Macaca mulatta: one gene and its partners. The protein of the gene in region 6 interacts with the protein of the main gene of each other region in a biochemical or structural test. Links are inferred from orthologs where the notes say so. Each region holds a gene or a part of one and is shown on either strand. Other genes may lie near its edges. The genes, in order: MAP3K2, UBE2M, PTEN, TLE3, HTRA1 and XIAP.

Region 1 (4,238 bases), on a different chromosome or scaffold from region 6:
AAATCTTTCATGAAAGGAAGAGTCCATCGATGCGGCAAACTTCACTAATGTCTTATTTTAAGAAATTGCCTCAGCCATCCCAAACTTCACCAACCAACCCTTATCAACCACCCTTACTCGTCAGCAGCCATCAACATGGAGGCAAGACCCTCCACCAGCAAAAAGATTACAACTCTCTAAAGGCTCAAATGTTCTTTAGCAATTTTTAGCAATAAATAATTTTTAAATTAAGATATATACATTTTTAGACATAATGCCATTGCACACAATAGACTACAATATATTGCAAACATAACTTTATATGCACTGTGAAACTAAAAAATTTATGTGACTCACTTATTTCGCTTTATTGTAGTGGTCTAGAACCAAAGCCACAATCTCTAAGGTATGTCTGTACATGTATTTATAGATAAAGCAAATATGGCAAGATACCAACAAACGTTTTATCTACAGGATCATGATACAAGTGGTTTACTACTACCAGATTTTCTGCATACTCGAAATTGTCTGATAATAAAAAGTGGGAGGTGGGGGGAAACAGCTCCAATTCTATAGGGAAAGAGAAAATCAACCTGAAACCAACGCTGTAAGAAATGCAGAGTATCAAACATGACTTTATTTTAATACAGCACCTATTAGTTTACCCCTTTGGTACCAATAAAGTAAATGAGAAACAAAAGCTCCACCTAAAACATTGCTTAAAAGATTCAATCTCTAATGCAATCCAATTATTTAAGATAAGTCTTTAACAGCTAGTTTCTCAAAACAGGCACATGGATAACCATTCTATAATGATACCAGATACAACATAATTCAATAAGATTCAACATGTTTATATTTTAACCAAACAACAAATCAATCTGTAAACCATCCACGTTAACTTTGTAATTTCACTTTTTCTCCATAGAGATTGCAAGATCACAAATTTTCTTCAACTTGATAATATACTAGGAAAATTACGGCCTAGTATAATTGGGCATCAATAGATTTGTTAAACATTTGCAATTATGCACAAAGCTTCAATTACTCAAGGAAATGTATCGACTTTTTTTCAGTACAGAGCTCTGGCTCCTTATTTTTTCCTCTCACCATAGTTTAAAAAAATACAAAACTCATGCTAAAATGAGAATTTTCAGTTAGCTTATAAACACTGATTAGTAGCACTCCATACAAATGAAAAAAGAATCACACCATCAAACTTTCTACGATATTAAAATTTGACATCAAACTAAAAAACATTGCATAAGACAACTAACAAATCACTAAATTGCCACATAATCCAGCAACAAATTTTGCAACAAGGAAATCTCAAGCAAATAACCCAACTGTGAGTTCCCTTTGGGCATCAAGGTCAAACTACAAAAGTAAATTTGTAACTTTTCAAGATCTATGCTGTTTTACCAAATGTATTTCTTTTTTGTAAGAGAGTAATTTTTTCTGTCCAGTACTAGTACGCAAAAAGTAAAGGTATCTGAAGCCATCCTTTAAATTTTTTTTTTTAAGCCAAGAAAATGGTTTGGCAAAAGACATCGAAGATCTTACTTAAGGAAAACTAAACTGCGTCTATGTGTTTAGAATTTGTCCCATTAAAGAAACTGCCCAGTTAGTCTCATTTTCTCAACGTATTTATTTTTGCAAGAAATACTGTCTTCGAACCAAGCCTTCCTGGATTACTAGCTTCATGACCTTGGACAAATGCCTTAATCTCTCTGGGCCTCAAGTTTTCATCTGTAAAATGGGGCGATATACCCACTTCACTGGGCTGGGAAGATGAAGAGAAATAAGACATAACAACTGCCGGGCGCAGACTAAGGGCACCGTAAGTGCTACCTAAATATTCCGTGAAAAGGGGGAAACAACATTACATCAAAAGATTACCACACTATGACAGTGCAAAGACAAGCACTTTTTCGTTCACTGCATGTACCATTTCTGCTTCATCGCAAGACCAGCTGCAACCTTCCTTCTAAAATCTCTGCAGGGTACGTGTCTGACAGCTAACAGCCCAGCAGCCTATTTCGCGCTGACCTGGGCTTCAGGACGGGATGTAGGGGGCCCAAGGTCCGCCCTCCCTCAGTTAGGCAATCACCCAGCGAAATCTCCGCCCCTGGAGCGGCGCTTAGGCCGCCGCCAGCCCCCTCCCGGCGCCCAGCCCGCGGCCCCCCACACACACGCGCGCGCGCGCGCACACACACACACACACAAACACACACACACACACAAACACACACACACACACAAGCGCACACGCGCACGCACGCACACACGCACGTACCGGCAGCTCCGCAGGGACGTAGAGAGCCGCAGGCCCAAGGAGGGGCCGCCCCCGCCGAGCCCGCCCCTCCGCCCCAGCGCGGCCTGTCACCGCGGCCCCCGGTCGGGGGCGGCCGCGGGGCCCCCGGGGGCCGGAGGGGCGCGCGAGGAGTCGGGCGCGGGCCTCGGGGCCAGGCCCGTCCCTCTTTCACATGAAGCCTGGGCCGGGCGGGGTGGCGGGCGCGTCAATCCTCGCGGCCGGCCGGGTCCTCCTGGCGCTCCTCGGTGCTTCTGGCCGCTGCAACCCCGAGGCCCGCGGGGAGTCGGGCAGGAAAGGGGGAAGCCGCGGGCCCGCGTCGCCAGAGACCGGAGAAGAGGCGGGAGTGGCGACTCCGCGGACAGGGGAGCCGAGCTTCCTGGTCGTAGTCTTCGTCGCCGCCGCGGGCCGTGCAATCCCCGAACGCTGCGCCCACCCGCCGCGGCACCCTCGTCAGGCGCCGCCGCTGAGGGCAGGCAGCCCGGCCGCCACTACACACGGACTCGTGACGTCGGGCGTAGCGCGGCGCACGTCACGGCCGCTCGCTCGTGCGCGCGCACCCCTCCGCCCGCCGGTAGCGGAACCCGTCGCGGGCGCGCGCCCGGCTCTGGGGAGTGGGTCGGCGCCTGCGCAGAGGCCCGCCACGCCCACACACACGCCCGGCCCCCACCGGCCTGACGGCGCGGGGATTCCCAGTCCTGGCTCCGCCCCGGCCTCGGCCCCGCCCCATGGCCTCGGGCAGCCTGCGCTGTTCCGTGTGCGCGGCGCATACGCACCTGGGTTGTCTCGATCCCAGACATCCGAGTAGATCCCGTGAAAGGTCTCCCACGTGGGTTGCGGACGGGGCCCAAGGGTAGCAGAGCTAGCAGAGGCAGTGACGGACTGAGTCTGTGGCAGGTCGTTTGCAAAGAGAAAAGCCATCTGCCTCTTAATTTATGGCTCAAGTTTCAGAATTTTATTCCCAAGGGACTTTAGAAATTACTTCAGGCTTGCCACCTAACCTTAAACCACCCCCTTGGAGACCGGCTAAGTGTTATTTGTGTTTTCTGTTTAGTTTTTTATCACCATCGATACTTGGTTGTAACAATGGTTGTGTACATTGGTTGGCCCAGCAAGTATTACTTCTCCAGCTTAACAGATGTGGAAACTTCAGCCCAGAGACATGAGTTGACACTCCACCCCCAAAGCTAGAGTCTAAAACCCTTTCCTTCGCTCCTCATCGCCCACAGGATAAAATGCAAATTAATCAGACTAGCGGTGAGGCCCTCCGTGGTGTGCCTAACCGGCATCCCGAGGTTTTCACCCTACTTTGATCCAGAAAGCATCTTTCCGCCCCCTCTCTTCTCCCTTCCTTAAATACCCCTTACAACTTCCTGTACCATTCCTCCCTGTTTAGCTTCTACTTGGTTTCTTGGTACATGCTGGATCCACCCCTTTCATGCCTATTCCAGACCATATTTCCACTGCAGCATTTGAGATGAGAGAGATGGGAATGGGACTCACCGACCCAGAGGTAAGGAGCTATCCCAACTTGGGTTGATGGTCAAGGGACCTGGCACTTGTGCGGCAGAGACTGAGGGAGAAACTGTTGTGCAGTGTCAAACTATCTCTGGGTTTCCTCCAGGAATCTTTATTACAGATTCATTAACAGAGGTGTCAAAGGCACAGGAACAAGGATGTGCACCTCAGAAACACAGAGCTCAGTGGAAAATCAGTTTGCTTCTATTTGTTTAAAAAATGGAGGACTTTTATGCATAAATCTAAGACCTTCTTGAATCTAACATTCAAAGATCCGTATGCCACAGAAAGGAGGGTCTCAGAATGCCTGAGGATAGTATTTAAATCTGAAACATCGATATTGTTCGCCACAGTTATAGGGTCACCACAAACCAAGCATTCAATAAAAACGTGTTTGTTTACTAAGTAATCCAGAGATAAATTTTTTCCC
Region 2 (4,278 bases), on a different chromosome or scaffold from region 6:
CAGGTAGGGGGGTCAACAGGCCAGAGGGACAGAAGGCCAGTCTCCCCAGACCCAACCACCTATTCCTACTCACCAAGAAGAGATACTGCAGGCCATAAATTATGGAGTTTATCGTAAGGACTGGCTTCCAGTCCTCTCTGTGGACAGAGAGCATCAGGGTCAGAGCTTGGTGAGTGGGAGACTGCCAGAGGCCCCTCTGGTATTGGGCAGGTCAGATCCAGGGCATAGGAGAGTGAGCATGTGAGAGGCTGGGAGGGAGGGTGTGCAGCAGGCTAGGCCAGGGAGAAAACCAAGGTCAGGCCATGAGGAAGATGACTGGGAAATGAAGAAATCACAAACAACAAAGGGGTGGGAAGGGACAGAGTCTGATGTAGTGCCCACAAGACCATGAGGGGGACCTGGCAGGCAGGGCTGGGGAGGGCAGTAGAGGGCCCGTGCCTTCACCTGAGGATGTTGAGGCAGACGTTGCCCTCGAGGTCAATGTTGGGGTGATAGACCATTGTCTCACACTTCACCTTGGGGGGATCATGTGGGTACCCCTGGCCCACCTGGCTCCAGGAAAAGAAAGGAGAGATGGGTAGGTCCCTGGAAGGGCCTCAGCTGCTGCCTCCTCAGTCCAGGGAGCCATCCCTGCCTGCCTGGGACTCACCTTAAAACTGAACACAAACTTCCCACTCTTGTAGAAGCCCTGGGAGGGAAAGGGGGAGAAGAAAATTTTAGGGTTCCATCCTGTGGGGCCTGATGGGCAGAATATGTCTCCCTCCTCTCAGTGGGGACACCCTTGGTCTGCTCCTGGGAATTCAGCCATATGCACCCTCACCTCATCAGGACAGATGACCAGCTTGAAGTTGAGGAGGTCGTCTGGATCTGAGAAGCTGATATCACACGTCTTGGGCAGGTTCAGCTCGTTTATGTCTGGGTTTGGGCAGCAGAGAGTGGGGGTCAGAAAGAGGGAGGGGAAGAGAGAGAGAGAGGGAGCCAGCAGGACACTTAGGGCAGGTGTTTGTTAGCAGAACCCCCATGGTCTCCTCCTAGACCCCTAGGCCTCTGTCCTGGGCTGTGCTCCACACCTCCAGCCCTCTCCCTGTTCCCTAGCTTGGCTCTTGTGGATACACATCATACCCCAAACATGCATGTTTAGTTGTGTATGCGTGTCTCAACTCCTGGCCCAGGGTAACCCCCAACTGTTCTGTATCCACAGCTCCCAAATGCCCCCACTCCCAAACATCCTCTGACTGCCCTAAACTCCAGGCTCCCCATCCATGACCTCCACTCTCCAGTATCTACCTGTTCACCCAAACTCAAAGATCCTGCCCACCCCCACCAACCCTCAGTCCTCACTGTCCTTCCTCTTCTCTGTCTCTCAGACCCAGCTTCCCATCTGACCCCCACAATCTCAAGTCCCCAACCCCCACCACCCTGCCCCACCTCCTTTGACTCTGAGGTTCACAGCACAATAGCCTAAATTCCCCCTCACCCCTGTCTCCAATCCCTGGTACTCACTAACCTTCCTTCCTCCACCTGTTACCCCAAAGCCCAAATCCAAATTGCTGTGACTCTCAGGTAGGCCCACGAGTCCCTAATCCTCCAACTTACTTTACCCGTTTGACTCTGAGATTCCCAGAGACCCCAGCATAATACACTAAATCCTCTCCCACTCATATCCCCAACCTTTAGCCTCTACTATCCGTCTCTTTTTCGCCTGTCACCCCAAACCCAAGTTCCCGTCTAACCCCCATACTCTCCAGTCCCCAGCTCCTCCACTCCACTGCCTGACTCTGAGATTCCGAGTCCCTAGTACCAGACGCCAGGCCTTCCTAATATCCTAAACCACCACATACCGGGCCCCATCTCTGACCCCCACCCCGTGACTGCATGATCCCAACCCTCAAGACCTGAACTCCGACCCCCCCCCCCCGACTCGGGGCCCTCCACCTCTGACCCTCGGCAACAGCATTACCCCCTCCTGACTCTCAACATCACCCTGCCTCAGGCTCTGACCTCCGACCTCCAGCTCCAACCCCATCCCCTGACCCCCTACCCTTCTGGATCCGCAGCTGCGCCGCCGACGCCTTCTTGCTGCTGCCCTTGGTGCCGCCCGCCGACTCCTCCTCCTTCTTCTGCTGCTTCAGCGAGAACAGCTTGATCATCCTGCCGCCGCCGCCGCCGCTGCCGCCGCCGCGGGGCCCGGGACCCCGGCCACCCGGCCCCCCGCCGCCGCCCGCGTCGCCTCCGCTCCTCGGACCCGCCGCTGCGGCCTCCTGCGCTGCTGCCGCCACCCGCCCGGCCTGCCGCGCCGCTCCGCGCCCACCGCGCGGCCCGCCTCGGCTCCCGTAGTCCGGCCCCGGCCTGGCCCAGAGCCTCGGGCTCGCTCGGCAGCTCTCGGCCAAATTCGGCTGTTTTCGGGCCCGCCCGGCCCCGCCCCCACTGCCCCGGGCCGCTCCTTCCTTGCCCTCGCCCACTCTGGTCTCAGGCCCCGCTGCAGCTGCGGACTCGGGGCTCCCCGGACTGTGCCGTTTGCCGCTCAGCTGATCCCTCCGCGAAGGGGCTGCGGCTAGGGGTGGAAGGAGGACGCGGCAGCCGCGGTGACGGCGGGTGGGTATTGGAGGATCGTCTTCCGCGGCAGCAGCGGCTTTAGCGCGGAGGTCTGCAACGGCCTCGGGCGCCCCGCGGCTTCGGATATTTCCGCCGCCTGCCCGCTTTGGCTCTTCCCGCCCGGCCTGCGTTGTGCGCCTGCGCAGCCGCCGCAAACCCGCGTTGCTCAGCGATGGAGTTTGGGGTTCGGCCTCCTTCGGCTGGACTCGGTTATTTCCGTTCGTGGAGATGACGCTTCGGCGGCCCTGCGGGTCACTTCCGGCGACTCTCGCGGGGCCGGGCAGGAAGCGGGGTTAGCCGCCATCTTTTAGTGGGGCAGACACGGGCCGCTTTGCTCGCGGTCACTTCATCCTGTGTTGTGTATGTGCAGAGCGCGGCGGGGGTGGTCGTCTCCGCTGCTGCCGCCACCCACACGGCCTGCCTTTGACCCCATAGGTCACAGACAAGGCAGGGTGATCGCGGCAAGACCCCGAGTGAGACTAGAGGCGTTACCCAGAGGGTGCGAGGTCGAGCACCCTCACTGTCCTATCGCAAACCCAAAGATCCCCGTTCCTGGAGATTCTGATTGAGGTAAACTAACAAAACATGTATTGTGCCAGAGAGTGGTAAGCACTATGGAGGGTTACAGTGGTGCAGGGGAAGACCTGTCGGGGTGGACACTTGGGGAACGTGACGTGCGGGCGGAGCGTGGGCGCTATTGGCATGGGCCGCGAGTGCCAGCGGAGACGCACTGGAGTCTCTGCGCTTCCCCTGCTAGCTGGAAAAGGGGATGGAGGCGGGGTCAACTTCTCATCCAATCACAGCTCAGCGTGCCTCGGAGGGCGGGAGGAAACAGAACTCTGCGGGTCTGCGACTTCCGGCCGTCACCACGGAAACTACCGGCCCCGTGAGCGCGTGGTGTGGTGGCCTTTCCCTGCGGAGGGCCCCAGGCGCCACTCCTCTGATTCTGCAGATCCTCCCCCAGGAGTGGCCTCTGGCCAAGGCTGGCTTGTCTGCTTCCCCCGAGGCCAGGCCCCTAGTCTTGGGGGTTAGGGTGACTTGAAGCAGCAGGGGGAAGTCCGGCTGCACCCCGAAAGAAGCTTGGACACACAAACTTCAAGTCTCTGTTACTGGAAATGCCCAGGCCAAGACTAGCCTGACACGTGCCCAGAGCGAGACCTTCAGTGGGGTTTAAGGCTCAAGCTGTACCCTGCTGCACACAGACCACTTCTTTGAAACTGCCTTTCACCCTGTGTTACCTGCACCCAAGTCATCCATTGGAGGGGTGGGGGAGAGGGGCTGTGTGAAGGACCTGGACAATGCGATGGAAGGGGAAGATGGCTAGGGCAAAATAGTCAATGGCACTGGGTCCTGGAGATGCTGCCCTGAAGCCTGCAGTATGCTGAACTTGCGCTCTCAGCGTCTGTCCACTTTCACCTAAGCTGCGTTTCCACTGGTTTGCTGCTGGATCTACTCCTGACTGAATCCTTCCAGTGTGCCCGGGGCCAGGGTGGGAGAAGTCTTCAGCTCTAGTGATGGGAATGATCACCACAGGGCAGGGAAACTGGCCCAGGGCCTGCAGTCTTTGCTTCTCAGACTGGTTGGGGATCCATCTGCAGGGTCCTACACCCTCATCACCTGCTGCTTGTAAACATGAGAACAGGAAAGTCCCGAAAAATCTGAATTTCCAGGTAAAATCCTCCA
Region 3 (3,940 bases), on a different chromosome or scaffold from region 6:
ACTGCTCAACGCACCCATCTCAGCTTTCATCATCAGTCCTCCACCCCCGCCCCGCAACAGCCTACCCTGCCTCCGGCTGGGTTTCTGGGCAGAGGCCGAGGCTTAGCTCGTTATCCTCGCCTCGCGCTGCTGCAAAAGCAGCCGCGGCAAGTGCAGTTGCAGGCTGGCGGCTCGGAACCGGCCCGAGCGAGCTCTAGGCAGCCACACTGGGCATGCTCAGTAGAGCCTACGGCTTGGGGGCTTTGCGCTCGCACCCGGAGCTACCGCTCCTGCCCCCGCCTACCGCCCCCTGCCCTGCCCTCCCCTCGCCCGGCACGGTCCAGTCCGCCTCTCGTTCGGCTCCCGCCTCCCCTCGGTCTCCCGAGGAGCCCGGGCTCCCGGCGCGGCGGCGGAGGGGGCGGGCAGGCCGGCGGGCGGTGATGTGGCGGGACTCTTTATGCACTGCGGCAGGATACGCGCTCGGGCGCCGGGACGCGGCTGCGCTCAGTTCTCTCCTCTCGGAAGCTGCAGCCATGATGGAAGTTTGAGAGTTGAGCCGCTGTGAGGCGAGGCCGGGCTCAGGCGAGGGAGATGAGAGACGGCGGCGGCCGCGGCCCGGAGCCCCTCTCAGCGCCTGTGAGCAGCCGCGGGGGCAGCGCCCTCGGGGAGCCGGCCGGCCTGCGGCGGCGGCAGCGGCGGCGTTTCTCGCCTCCTCTTCGTCTTTTCTAACCGTGCAGCCGCTTCCTCAGCTTCTCTTGAAGGGGAAGGTGGAAGCCGTGGGCTCGGGCGGGAGCCGGCTGAGGCGCGGCGGCGGCGGCGGCACCTCCCGCTCCTGGAGCGGGGGGGAGAAGCGGCGGCCGCGGCGGCCGCGGCGGCTGCAGCTCCAGGGAGGGAGTCTGAGTCGCCTGTCACCATTTCCAGGGCTGGGAACGCCGGAGAGTTGGTCTCTCCCCTTCTACTGCCTCCAACACGGCGGCGGCGGCGGCGGCACATCCAGGGACCCGGGCCGGTTTTAAACCTCCCCTCCGCCGCCGCCGCACCCCCCGTGGCCCGGGCTCCGGAGGCCGCCGGAGGAGGCAGCCGTTCCGAGGATTATTCGTCTTCTCCCCATTCCGCTGCCGCTGCTGCCAGGCCTCTGGCTGCTGAGGAGAAGCAGGCCCAGTCGCTGCAACCATCCAGCAGCCGCCGCAGCAGCCATTACCCGGCTGCGGTCCAGAGCCAAGCGGCGGCAGAGCGAGGGGCATCAGCTACCGCCAAGTCCAGAGCCATTTCCATCCTGCAGAAGAAGCCCCGCCACCAGCAGCTTCTGCCATCTCTCTCCTCCTTTTTCTTCAGCCACAGGCTCCCAGACATGACAGCCATCATCAAAGAGATCGTTAGCAGAAACAAAAGGAGATATCAAGAGGATGGATTCGACTTAGACTTGACCTGTATCCATTTCTGCGGCTGCTCCTCTTTGCCTTTCTGTCACTCTCTTAGAACGTGGGAGTAGACGGATGCGAAAATGTCCCTAGTTTGGGCGACTATAACATTTAACCCTGGTCGGGTTGCTAGGTCATATATTTTGTGTTTCTTTTCTTGTATTCAACCTAGGGTGTGTTCGGCTAGACGGAACTCTTGCCTGGTTGCAAGTGTCGAGGCACCGATTGCTTGCTTAGGCTGTCTATACGGTCTCTTCCTGAGGGCTATTGTCCGTTAATACAGAATACAGTATGCTGTTAGTGGATTAGAGAGCTCGGTAATCCGGTCTCCTAAATGAACAAAAAAGTAGACGCTTTGAGGTTGAGCATATTTCGATTAAATCTTGGCTTAGGCCCTAGATCAAGGGTTTAGATCAGAATAAAATGAAAATTAGTGTTGCACGTATGCATATTGCATCAGAATCTTGCAGTGATTGTTTTAGTTTCCTGGGTTGCATTGATAGATTCTTTTAAAATATGACTGATTTGCATAACTTTAGAAGCAGAATAATTTTCAGTATATATGGTGCACATTGAGTGCAAAAAGTAGTTTTGTTAATGTTTTACACTTAAGTTACAACTTTGGACTGTATTTAGAAGTTTTGTAGTTTGAAATCAATAATGCCATTATATACCTTATAAGGCGTTCTTACTAGATCTTTGTTATATTTACCTTTTTCTCTCCCTATGGGATGATGTAGGATAGGGCTTGAAATTTGCACTTCAGTAGCGTTTAATGTTCAGTGCTCTTGTCATAAACATGGAATGGATATTGAGTAGTTTTTGATCCCAGATGACAATGTGTAGGTTCAAGGGTATTGTGTGTGGCAAGTGAAGATTGCAAAGATAAAACTTCAGTTCATGCTTGAAATTTAAGTATTGTGATGCCAGAATTGCTGCTCACCGTTTTTAGATTTCAGGTTCTCTGACATCTTTTGGTATTGTTAATTTCAGTGATTTGTGTAGAATGTCAAGTGAATTTTACCAGCTAATATCCAGAAATGCTGGCAAGAGAAGTTTACTCCAGCTTTAGATTGTAGGTATGTTAGCTTTTTTCATACAGTGTATTAAATTTACTGAGTCAGCTTGTTGAATAAGACAGAAGCCCAAGAATTTTAACAGTGTATAGCTTTAGTTGTCTAAAAGTTAGGCCTTCGGGCTTCAAAAGTTAGTGGTCATCGAAAAGCATGAATCTTTGCAGTTTCAGGTACAACAGACTGGTTTTGATTAGGGATGGGGATGGGGCCCTCATTTTGCAGAATGGAAAGTATTGACAGGAATTGAGAGCTATTGGTAGGCCAGTGTATAAGGTATGTGAAAACAGAAGTTATTGGTCTGAAGTGACTGAAGCATTTAGGCTCTATCAAGGCCTAAAATTTGGTAATATGAGTTTGGTAATGCGAATTGTGGCAGTGGACAATATTTAGTTAAAATTATGTAATTGCATAAGTACTAGCAGAGTATTTTTAATAAAAATTATTTCTTAGCAAGTATCAGTTGCATTTTGTCTAAAGGTAGCGTGACACTGCAGTGTCTATATGTCCTGCTAAAAATTGTGGGGAAGATTTTTTTTTAAGACAACGTTTATATCGGGAGAGGTTTTATTCCCTTGGATTATGTTAGCTGCATATACATGTGCACAGTTAATTTTGCCCAAGTTTTTGTTTTGAAATGAATATAAAACTTACTGAAGAAGTAGCCTCCCAAAATTTAGTTTTCTGTTAAGTCAGTAATATTATTTTAAAACAGTATTTGCAAATTTTGAAGTTGGCATTAATTGAAAATGTTACTAAGGCTAAACTGGAAGATAAAAATGTTACTAAGGCTAAACCCGCTTGCCCAGAAGATAATTATGGAAAAAATTCTTTTGTGACTTCCAAAGCAGTCTACTATTAGCATGAATTACTGACAGTCATCCAAATATATAGGAACAAAAAATTAAATGTTTATGTAACTTTGAAAAAAAAGCCTCTGAAGAAAATAATTGAATGCTGTCTGGGAGACAGATTTCTTTCAGCACTTAAAGTACATACACACTACTTTTACTTTTCCCACTTTATTTAAAATTGTCAGGGTTATTAAGACCTTAAAATTATTCTACCAGGTTTTTACATGTGAGCTGTGATGTGACTGGCATTTCCTTTGATTTCAGAGTATGTGGGTCTCTACACATGAAATTTATGTGACTTAAAACTTTCTCTAAAATTGTACTTTTAGTTATGCATAGAAAGCAGTATCAAATATTGTGTCAAATGACTAATAACACTTGATTTCTAGAGTTGTGGTTTTATTGAGCCAAAAGTTGGTATGAAAAAAAGTCAGTGAGGAAAGTCAATGAAGTGCTTGCTTTTTTGATAATTGCACTCCCAATAATTTTGATATTCCAACGTACTTGGTTTGCTTGTTTTTCTGTTTATGGGGGTGGGAAGGCATTAAAATGGTCATTGAGGACTTTGTCTTTGGCATGCTGTAGTATTTATTTCGGCAGCTAACCTGTGAAA
Region 4 (3,500 bases), on a different chromosome or scaffold from region 6:
AGAAGAGGAAACTGAGGCCCAGAAGAGCGCACTATGCACATGGTCCCTTAGTGAGCTTGCAGCAAAGCTAGCTCTGGCCTCTTTCCAGTTCCACAGAAGGGTTTGCCCCGGGACAAGTCCCGTGGGAAATGGGGGGTGAAAAGGGGACCTCACACCAGGCTTCTGAGACTGAATCCCTCCAGGGTGGGCCTCTGGAGAAGGTGGAGCTGGAGGCTCAGGAAGGCCCTAGGGAAGCCATGTGTGAGATGACTGATAAAGAGAATGCAGGGCCTCACTGCCTTTAAGACACAGCTCCTTAGCCCGCACTCCATGCGCCCTCAATTTACCCTCTTAATCTATCTCTTCACCCTGCATGAACTATGGGGCTGAGGCCATCCATGAACACGTTGAATAACACACACAGCCCATGTATAAGAGTCAGCTGGGCCAGGCACCCCGTCTGCTTTTGCACTGTAGCACTGTCAGAGGCAGATGCTCCATTGTCACTGTTTTACACAGGAAGAAACTGAGCCGCAGGGGTTCAGCAACTTGCACTAGGTCATAGTGGAGGCAGGATTCAAACCCAGCAGTTTTGTCCTAAGGCTTGTCTAGACACCACATGATGTGGCTTCCCAGTCAGGTCTCCCCAGTCTGGTCTCTGGGCCTCTCTCCCAGCCTCTCTGCTTGCTCCACTAATCTGACCTCCACTTTCCCAGACATGCTCTAGCTCCACTTTCTTCCCAGAGCCCTCTCCAAGCTCCTGGGCCCAATGGCCCTCCCTCCTCTGTCCCTCGAATAAGGCAGGCAGAGCTGTCTTTTCACCTGTGCATCCCTCATCCCAACGATTATGGCCACCCCACGGCACCTCAGACAAGGCCAAGGTCACAGCAAACAAGACCAGGCAGGGTGGGTAAAAACGTCCCCAGGACGAGGCACTAATGCTCCCTCCTGACGGCTCACCTGACCAGGGTCTGGTTGTGCAGGTCCCAGACAGCTATGTTCCCGTCGCTGCAGCAGGAGAAGCAGACTTTGGCATCAGGGCTGATGGCCAGGGCATAACAGGCGGGAGCCGAGGACGTCAGCTCGGCCTTGATGCGGGGCGTGGGCGAGGCCAGGTCCCAGATGGTGAGCGTGCTGGCCTCGCCGCCCACGATGAGCGTGCGCCCGTCAGGAAGCAGCTTGCAGGAGCGGATGTAATTGTCCCTGTTCTGGAGGGAGAAGGGGCAGGGCTGAGTGCTGCCTACTTCCCCTCGTGGGCACCAGGAGAGTCTTGTCCAGCAATACTGAGCACCCTCACCAGCCCTGCTTACAGCCTCCCCTATACCCAGCAGCTGCCTGGCTGTCCCCATTCCTCAAATTCACAAGCCTTTGATCTTTCATGAATACCAGGAGGTCAGTATCAGCCCCACACACAGAAGGCACAACTGGGGCTCAGAGAGGTTAGTCAGCTTGCCTAAAGTTGCTCAGCCAATACGATGCTAAGCCGGGCCCTGGGGCTCTCCCCCGTGGCCCAGGCTACCCCATCCTCCTACACCAGCTGGAGGAGGCGCGGTGGCCCTGGGATTCTCACCAGGCAGTCCAGCTGGGAGATGGGGCTCTTGCTGCCTGGCTGGCTGATGTCCCAGATCTTCACGCAGCCCTTGCCACCTGTGTAGACGTGCCTCGTGGGGTTGCTGATGGTCACGGCACACACCACCTCCCCGTGGCTGAGTGTGTTAATCTGCCGGGCGTGCCTCGGGATGCCGGGGCCTGCCAGGGCGTCGTGGGGGAAGGGCACGGGCTGCATCTGCCCATCAGCGCTCACATGGAATGAGTACGCTCTGAAAAGGTGAGAACCGTCACTGCTGCCATCCACCCCGGCCCCTCAGAGTTCCCACAGGCCTGGCCCAGGTCACCTGCACCGCCCCCGACTGGCTGCCCTGCCTCCAGGCCCCTCTGCTCTGAAACCTTTCGAACCCAGTAACCCCATGTACTGGGAGGGCTCCACCAGGGTGGAGAGTGCTTAACAGACCAGCTTTGATTTTTACACTCGGTTATATATCCTTGCTCCAAATCAGACCAGAAACCCACAGATGTCCTGGAATGCCCTTTCCCACAATCCATTCATTCCCCCAACAAGCCAGCCCTGGAAAGGGCATGGCTGAAATGCCACCTCTTGCTTTAGGAGCCGGCGGTATTAGGGAAGGGATCTGCTTGCCCCTCAATAGCAAATGGGAAAGTCCGTGTCAGAGTCGGTGGGAGCCAGCCTGGCCTGCCTGCTGTTTCCGGCTCTGGTGGGCGCCCTCTCAATCAGCATCTAGATTCTCGTGGACAATTAGAGGACTGTGTCAGGCAGTGTCTCCGCATTATCTATAGGCTCAATCTTTTAGTTTCCTAGCAACCCGAGGAAGTGAAGGGCCGGGGAGAGTGTGCCCTCCAGGGGAGGAAAGCACTGCTGACAGGGAAGGGCCTGCGACCAGCGGCACTGGGGCCTTCCCAGCAGGTAGAGCCCAAAGGAGTCGGCAAGGCCCACCACAGCTCCAGGTGACTCGGTGAGGAGTGTTCCTTGTCTCCCAGCCCGGTGGCCATGTACTTAGCTAACCCCATGGCTCCTCTGTTGGAGGGAGCTTCTGTGGGTGCTGAGAAGCATGGCTTGGCTATAGTTTTCTGGGGTTGCAACTAGGCCTCGGTGCCTCCAGAGGGACAGATACCTTTCCAAAGGGACATGCACCAGGGCAAATTCTTCGTCAGGGGATGACGTGTGTTGTTGGAAGGAGGGGTAGAGTGCTCTCTCCTCCCCACCCTACAAAGCATGCAGTAAGTATAGCCAAAGCTTACGGTTTTCCTCCAGGAATGGAGGCCAGGCTTGAGGGGAGGCCTGTGGCCCGCATGGGGGGGTGAGGGTCAAAACCAACCTGTAAAGCAAGGCAAGACAGCCCTCCATCAGCCGTGTTGCCACACACCCCCACCCCTGCCTCCTCCACCACCCACCCGGGGTCCTACCTGCATGGCTCTGCCACTTTATAACCCAAGAGACAAGCTGAGCAGAGCAGAGCCCATTGATTCAAAGGAGACACAGGCCCAGGAAGGCCCGTGGCAGGGAGGGGGTGACAGTGTGTAGACCCCACTCTGAACCAGCATCCTCCCTGTTCTGCAAGGCAGAGCTGGCCCTGCCCTACTTCTTTCCTCTCCTGTGGTCCTAGTGGGCCTGCCAGTGGAGAGAAGGCCACCCAAGGTCCAGGAGGTAAAAAGGAAAACTATCTCCTGAAAAAGGGCCCCTCTCTCCGCCAACCCTAACTCTTCTTTTTCTTTTTATTTTTTGAGATGGAGTCTTGCTCTGTTGCCCAAGCTGGAGTACAGTGGCGCAATCTTGGCTCACTGCAACCTCCGCCTCCCGGGTTCAAGGGATTCTTCTGCCTCTACCTCCCGAATAGCGCCTGCCACCACACCCAGCTAATTTTTGTATTTTTAGTAGAGACAGGCTTTCACCATGTTGGCTGGCCAGGCTGGTCTCGATCTCCTGACTCAGGTGATCCACCCGC
Region 5 (4,017 bases), on a different chromosome or scaffold from region 6:
TAACGTGTGCACGAGGGAACAACCCAAATACAGAAGAATATTAAAATCTCCAAGCCCCCAGCCCCCTCCCTTGCTACTGTATCCCAAAGTCAGCTCTGCCGGCCCACCCAACCGTGGGTGCCTCTGCCCAGGGTAGGGTTGGAGGTTTGAGGGTTTCGGATGAGGGCTGGGCGAACCGCCTCCTCTCAGGTCCTTGGACGCGAGCTGTACCCATCTGCTCAGTGTGGACCCAGGACTACTGCCCACAGGCCTGGTGCTGCCTGGGCACCCAGACCCACCTCCAGGGTCGCCCTCGGCCCTCCTGATGACTCTCAGACTCGCATCTGTCCCAAAGGCTGCACCAAAGATTCTCCAGTGGAAAATCAAATTTTTGATAACAAAAGTGTTTTGAAATAATCACGCACGTGGTGAAAAATTCAAACAGGAGCAAACCCCTTTCCCATCTGAGACCGCTGCACCCTCTCCAGTTACGAGCCTCCCAGCTGCTTCCTGAGCTCTCTGCGAGTACGGACACGCGTGCCACCCACAACAACTGTTTAAAAGAATCAGACGTGTGAAGGATTCTGTTCAAATTACTTCTGCTCTCTGCTTTTATCACTTCACTGTGGGTCCGGGCGCGGGCTTTCTGGCAGCTCCGCGGACGCTGCCTTCGTCCGGCCGCACAGGCCCCGCGGTCAGGGTCCCGCATGCGGGGTACCGGGGGCAGAACCAGCGCGTGACCGGGGTCCGCGGTGCCGCCAACGCCCCGGGTCTGCGCAGAGGCCCCTGCAGTCCCTGCCTGGCCCAGTCCGAGCCTCCCGGGCAGGCCCCCAGTCGGGCGATTTGCAGGAACTTTCCCGAGCGCTCCCGCGGGGAGACGCCGCAGGGCCCCCTTGCAAAGTTCCTTTAGTTTGAAGGACGCGAATCGCAGCGAGAGAACCTGCGGAAGGCGAATATGTGGGGCGCGCAGACGGGGAAACTGAGTCCCGCGAGAGGGCGGGTCTGTGCACTGCCCCGCCCGCGCCCCACGAGCTCCGCCGTGCCCGGGCGCGCCCGCCCTGCCCCCGCCGCGGGCGGTCCCGGTCCAGTCGTCCGCCCTCCCGCCATCCGGTCGGCCCCCCTCCCGGGCGCCGTGCCCGTCCCCAAGGCGGCTCGTCACCGCTGCGAGGCCAATGGGCTGGGCCGCGCGGCCGCGCGCACTCGCACCCGCTGCCCCCGAGGCCCTCCCGCACTTTCCCCGGCGCCGCTCTCCGGCCCTCGCCCTGTCAGCCGCCACGGCCGCCGCCGCCGCCAGAGTCGCCATGCAGATCCCGCGCGCCGCGCTGCTCCCACTGCTGCTACTGCTGCTGCTGGCGGCGCCCGCCTCGGCGCAGCTGTCCCGGGCCGGCCGCTCGGCGCCTTTGGCCACCGGGTGCCCCGAGCGCTGCGAGCCGGCGCGCTGCCCGCCGCAGCCGGAGCACTGCGAGGGCGGCCGGGCCCGGGACGCGTGCGGCTGCTGCGAGGTGTGCGGCGCGCCGGAGGGCGCCGCGTGCGGCCTGCAGGAGGGCCCGTGCGGCGAGGGGCTGCAGTGCGTGGTGCCCTTCGGGGTGCCAGCCTCGGCCACGGTGCGGCGACGCGCGCAGGCTGGCCTCTGTGTGTGCGCCAGCAACGAACCGGTGTGCGGCAGCGACGCCAACACCTACGCCAACCTGTGCCAGCTGCGCGCCGCCAGCCGCCGCTCCGAGAGGCTGCACCGGCCGCCGGTCATCGTCTTGCAGCGCGGCGCCTGTGGCCAAGGTACTCTGCCGCGCTCCTGGGCAGCACCCCATTCTCTCCATCCCAGCTCGGACCTGCTTCTGCGGGACTGGTGGGCAGACCGAGGGGCAGTGAAGCGTTGCGGGGTGGCCAGGGCAACTCTCGGGGACAGGCAGGTGGGCCCCGGGGTGGCGGCTTTCCGCGGGCTGCCTCGGAAACGAGCTTCGCGCCCAGCCCGGGGCCGGTTCTGCGCCCAGACGATGCCGGTGCGCCGGGCCTGCACTCTGGGGCTCGAGACGCCTGGCGACCTGCCGCGGAGCGCCCTGAGGGCAGCCACACAGCGCGGGGAGCCGAGGACAAATAAGAGGAGTGGGGGCATAAAGGGAGGAGAGAAGTTCAGGACTAGGAACTGGAGCCTTGCAGAGTGGCTTCAGGACCACAAGAAGTCATTTCTGTTGCTTTTTCTATTTGCTTCCTCCGTCCCCTTTAAAATGCATTACTTTGATCACGGGACCGCTCCGTGAAAACTGTATGTAACTCTTTTGGAAAGGAAGAGTGTTTGCCGGCCCCCGCCGGAGTTTCCCCAAAAAGTCTACCCCGGGCAGGGAACGGTTTGGCATCGCACTCGTTTCGGCGGCGTTGCTGCCTGTGTTGCTTTCCTCGTTTTGAGCCAGCCCTACAAAAATGAAAGTGGCTCCTTTTGAATAAGCTGAATCGGGCTTTGGATCACGAAATCTGCAGAGGCGTAGAAGGGACCGGGTTAGTAATGAGGAAGGAGCCTGCCCCTCCCTCCTGCCGCATACAGGACCTGTTCGGCAGGGGAGATGGTGGTGATGGGGGCAGGAGTGGAGTGGAGCAATGTCTAACTCTCTCGCGGGACCTTCCGGAGAGATGCTTCCCATCTTCAGGCAGAGGCCATGTGGAAGAATAGTATCGAGTTCAGCGGCGGCCAGTCCCGCGGTGTAGAACCAGACAGCGGGGCTTGGCAGTGCGCTTAGGCGCAGCCATGCGGCTGCTGCCCGACCCCAGCGCTGCCTCCTCAACTCGGGCAGTGCCAGGAGAGGGGCATAGGAGAGCACAGTGCAGAGGGACTGGTCTAGATTTTACTTTATAGGAATATGGTTCAGTATGACCAACTAGGACTTGGCATAGTTTGGCTTACATGGACCGGAAGGTGCCAGAGCCGAATTGGGTGAAATTCGAGATTGTGTATTTCACTAACGCAGGAGCACAGCCCTCGGGAAACTCAGCCTAGTTAGGCAGTAGAGAGTTGTCCCGGAGACAAGTGATCCCGCAGACTAGAGAATGGGCATGATGATAGCACACGCCTATTGAGCACTCAGTCTGTGTGCCGGGTGTGTTACCTCTGTGACCTCATTTGGTCTCATGAGGAGGGAGTTTCTCCTCTCTCTCTCTCTCTTTTTTTCTTCTTAAGAGACAGGGTCTCCCTCTGTCGCCCAGGCTGGAGTATAGTGGTGTGATCATGGCTCACTGCAGCCTCCCACCCCTGGACTCAATGATTCTCCTGCTTCAGCCTCCCAAGTGGCTGGGGCTACAGGCGGATGCCACCACACCCAGCTTCTCATTCCTGTTTTACAGATAGCGGAACTAAGGTTGAAAAACTTGCCCAAGGTCACTCAGCTGGAGTTTAAACCCAGATAGCCTCATTCAGAGGAGTCAGGCCAGCACTTAACTCCAAGGGTGTGGGAGAGGGGTCAGGTGCTGTAAATTTCCCGGTGGGTTGGACTTGCATCCCCCTCAGAGCCAGGAACAGCATACACAAAGCCTAAGACTTGTTTGGAGGTGAATAGATCAGTGTGGCTGGGGGATGTTTGGGGAGGGCAGCAGGAGTGAGCCAGGCTGGTGGCCCAGAGTCCCAGGGCTGAAGAGGCTGGCTGTGCCCCGGGCCCTGTGTGCAGATGTTCTTGAACTGGGGCAACTCAAAGCCTAGTGTAGTGTAGGGCTGACCTAGCAGTGGTGTGCGGAATGCATCCAGGGTGGAGAGTTTAGACTACTGCAATAATCTGGGTGTGAGGCAACAACATTGAAAAAGCATGTTTTTGTCCAAAACAAGCCAGCTGTTACTGGTCTCGCTGTTTGTGGTCTCATTGCACGGGGTCCTGAGTTGCTGGCACCATGCGAGTCGCCTAATTTATTGCTAGTGAGGCAAGTTGCTTAATAAGCTTTGGAGTTGGCTGAGTCCCTGTGTGGAGGAAAACAGGTCCCCCATTGGCCATCAGGCTCACGGCGGGCCCCGGTGTACCAGTGAGGGGACAGCCACAGAGGGATAAGCATGGTGGCTTT
Region 6 (2,455 bases):
TACAGCACTTATCACTTTGTACTTTGTGCTTAACCTCCATAGCCTCATCTTACATCCTCTCCCACTAGCCTGTGAGCTATTTAAGAGCAGATGCCATGTGTGAGTCATCCTCATATCTCCTGGCACTTGTTGGGTGCCTGGCACGTAGTAGGGGTTCAATAAATATTTTCAATGAATGTAAACAACTAAGAAAGTCTAAAACTAGCATAATTCTTTTCTCTTTTTGCAGAGATTAGTACTGAAGAGCAGCTAAGGCGCCTGCAAGAGGAGAAGCTTTGCAAAATCTGTATGGATAGAAATATTGCTATCGTTTTTGTTCCTTGTGGACATCTAGTCACTTGTAAACAATGTGCTGAAGCAGTTGACAAGTGTCCCATGTGCTACACAGTCATTACTTTCAAGCAAAAAATTTTTATGTCTTAATCTAACTCTGTAGTAGGGATGTTATGTTCTTCTTATTACCCTGATTGAATGTGTGATGTGAACTGACTTTTAAGTAATCAGGATTGAATTCCATTAGCATTTGCTACCAAGTAGAAAAAAAATGTACATGGCAGTGTTTTAGTTGGCAATATAATCTTTGAATTTCTGGATTTTTCAGGCTATTAGCTGTATTATTTATCCAACTTTTTTTACTGTTATCTAATTGAAACCCTAGACTAAGAAGCATCATATTATAACTGAACACAATGTGTATTCATCATATACTGACTTAATTTCTAAGTGTAAGTGAATTAATCATCTGGATTTTTTATTCTTTTCAGATAGGCTTAACAAATGGAGCTTTCTGTATATAAATGTGGAGATTAATCTCCCCAATCACATAATTTGTTTTGTGTGAAAAAGGAATAATTGTTCCATGCTGGTGGAAAGATAGAGATTATTTTTAGAGGTTGGTTGTTGTGTGTTAGGATTCTGTCCATTTTCTTTTAAAATTATAAACACGTACTTGTGCGAATAATTTTTTAAAAGTGATTTGCCATTTTTGAAAGGGTATTTAATGATAGAATACTATCAAGCCAAGATGTACTGACATGGAAAGATGTGAAAGATATATTAAGTGTAAAATGCAAGTGGCAAAACACTATGTATAGTCTGAGGCAATCAAAGTATGTATGTTTCTTATATGTATAGAACAAAAGATTTGGAAAGATAGACACCAAACTGTTAAATGTGGTTTCTCTTTGGGGGGGTTGGGGAAGGGGCCTCAGAGGGGTTTTATAGGGGCCTTTCACTTTCTATTTTTTTCATTTTGTTCTGTTTGAATTTTTTATAAGTATGTATTACTTTTGTAATCAGAATTTTTAGAAAGTATTTTACTGATTTAAAGGCTTAGGCATGTTCAAACGCCTGCAAAAGTACTTATCACTCAGCTTTAGTTTTTCTAATCCAAGAAGGCAGGGCAGTTAACCTTTTTGGTGCCAATGTGAAATGTAAATGGTTTTATGTTTTTCCTGCTTTGTGGATGAAAAATATTTCTGAGTGGTAGGTTTTTGACAGGTAGACCATGTCTTCTTATCTTGTTTCAAAATAAGTATTTCTGATTTTGTAAAATGAAATATAAAATATGTCTCAGATCTTCCAATTAATTAGTAAGGATTCATCCTTAATCCTTGCTAGTTTAAGCCTGCCTAAGTCACTTTACTAAAAGATCTTTGTTAACTCAGTATTTTAAACATCTGTCAGCTTATGTAGGTAAAAGTAGAAGTATGTTTGTACACTGCTTGTAGTTATAGTGACAGCTTTCCATGTTGAGATTCTCATATCATCTTGTATCTTAAAGTTTCATGTGAGTTTTTACCGTTAGGATGATTAAGATGTATATAGGATGAAATGTTAAATCCTCTGCCTACATTTGTGTTCTTGACTAGTAATAGTAGTAGATACTTCTGAAATCAATGTTCTCTCAACATCCTTAAAACCTCTTGGAAATTATAAAAATATTGGCAAGAAAAGAATAGTTGTTTAAATATTTTTTGAAAAACACTTGAATAAGAATCAATAGGACATAAACTAGAAGTTTAAAAATGCTTCATAGGACGTCCAGGGTTTACATTATAAGATTCTCACAACAAACCTATTGTAGAGGTGAGTAAGGCATGTTACTACATAGAGAAAAGTTTGAGAGTAAAACTGTAAAAAATTATATTTTTGTTGTACTTTCTAAGAGAAAGAGTACTGTTATGTTCTCCTAACTTCTGTTGATTACTACTTTAAGTGATATTCATTTAAAACATTGCAAATTTATTTTATTTATTTAATTTTCTTTTTGAGATGGAGTCTTGCTTGTCACCCAGGCTGGAGTGCAGTGGCATGATCTCTGCTCACTGCAACCTCCCCCTCCTGGGTTCAAGCGATTCTCCTGCCTCAGCTTCCTGAGTAGCTGGGATTACAGGCGAGTGCCACCATACCCGACTAATTTTTGTATTTTTAGTAGAGACAGGGTTTCACCATG

Evidence for each region.
Region 1: of the proteins of XIAP (region 6) and MAP3K2, one has a biochemical effect on the other in vitro, tested with the Homo sapiens proteins (2 studies listed by BioGRID, with this or other methods). The link is inferred for Macaca mulatta from reciprocal best matches to the Homo sapiens genes XIAP and MAP3K2.
Region 2: the proteins of XIAP (region 6) and UBE2M form a complex in vitro, tested with the Homo sapiens proteins (2 studies listed by BioGRID). The link is inferred for Macaca mulatta from reciprocal best matches to the Homo sapiens genes XIAP and UBE2M.
Region 3: of the proteins of XIAP (region 6) and PTEN, one has a biochemical effect on the other in vitro, tested with the Homo sapiens proteins (2 studies listed by BioGRID). The link is inferred for Macaca mulatta from reciprocal best matches to the Homo sapiens genes XIAP and PTEN.
Region 4: of the proteins of XIAP (region 6) and TLE3, one has a biochemical effect on the other in vitro, tested with the Homo sapiens proteins (2 studies listed by BioGRID). The link is inferred for Macaca mulatta from reciprocal best matches to the Homo sapiens genes XIAP and TLE3.
Region 5: the proteins of XIAP (region 6) and HTRA1 form a complex in vitro, tested with the Homo sapiens proteins (2 studies listed by BioGRID and IntAct, with this or other methods). The link is inferred for Macaca mulatta from reciprocal best matches to the Homo sapiens genes XIAP and HTRA1.

The regions. Positions count from the first base shown.
Region 1 is NC_133417.1:9,899,069-9,903,306, reverse strand, and holds the start of MAP3K2 (mitogen-activated protein kinase kinase kinase 2), read right to left. Parts: upstream 2,801-4,238; 5' UTR 2,276-2,800; intron 1-2,275. UniProt on the Homo sapiens protein: Component of a protein kinase signal transduction cascade. Regulates the JNK and ERK5 pathways by phosphorylating and activating MAP2K5 and MAP2K7. Plays a role in caveolae kiss-and-run dynamics.
Region 2 is NC_133424.1:70,695,394-70,699,671, forward strand, and holds the start of UBE2M (NEDD8-conjugating enzyme Ubc12), read right to left. Parts: upstream 2,801-4,278; 5' UTR 2,151-2,800; coding exon 2,042-2,150; intron 916-2,041; coding exon 821-915; intron 689-820; coding exon 650-688; intron 549-649; coding exon 445-548; intron 138-444; coding exon 74-137; intron 1-73.
Region 3 is NC_133414.1:99,939,533-99,943,472, forward strand, and holds the start of PTEN (phosphatidylinositol 3,4,5-trisphosphate 3-phosphatase and dual-specificity protein phosphatase PTEN), read left to right. Parts: upstream 1-1,140; 5' UTR 1,141-1,330; coding exon 1,331-1,409; intron 1,410-3,940. UniProt on the Homo sapiens protein: Dual-specificity protein phosphatase, dephosphorylating tyrosine-, serine- and threonine-phosphorylated proteins.
Region 4 is NC_133412.1:47,666,383-47,669,882, forward strand, and holds part of TLE3 (transducin-like enhancer protein 3), read right to left. Parts: intron 2,874-3,500; coding exon 2,797-2,873; intron 1,800-2,796; coding exon 1,550-1,799; intron 1,188-1,549; coding exon 940-1,187; intron 1-939. UniProt on the Homo sapiens protein: Transcriptional corepressor that binds to a number of transcription factors. Inhibits the transcriptional activation mediated by CTNNB1 and TCF family members in Wnt signaling.
Region 5 is NC_133414.1:134,543,021-134,547,037, forward strand, and holds the start of HTRA1 (serine protease HTRA1 precursor), read left to right. Parts: upstream 1-1,217; 5' UTR 1,218-1,280; coding exon 1,281-1,755; intron 1,756-4,017. UniProt on the Homo sapiens protein: Serine protease with a variety of targets, including extracellular matrix proteins such as fibronectin. HTRA1-generated fibronectin fragments further induce synovial cells to up-regulate MMP1 and MMP3 production.
Region 6 is NC_133426.1:130,341,685-130,344,139, forward strand, and holds the end of XIAP (E3 ubiquitin-protein ligase XIAP), read left to right. Parts: intron 1-229; coding exon 230-423; 3' UTR 424-1,955; downstream 1,956-2,455.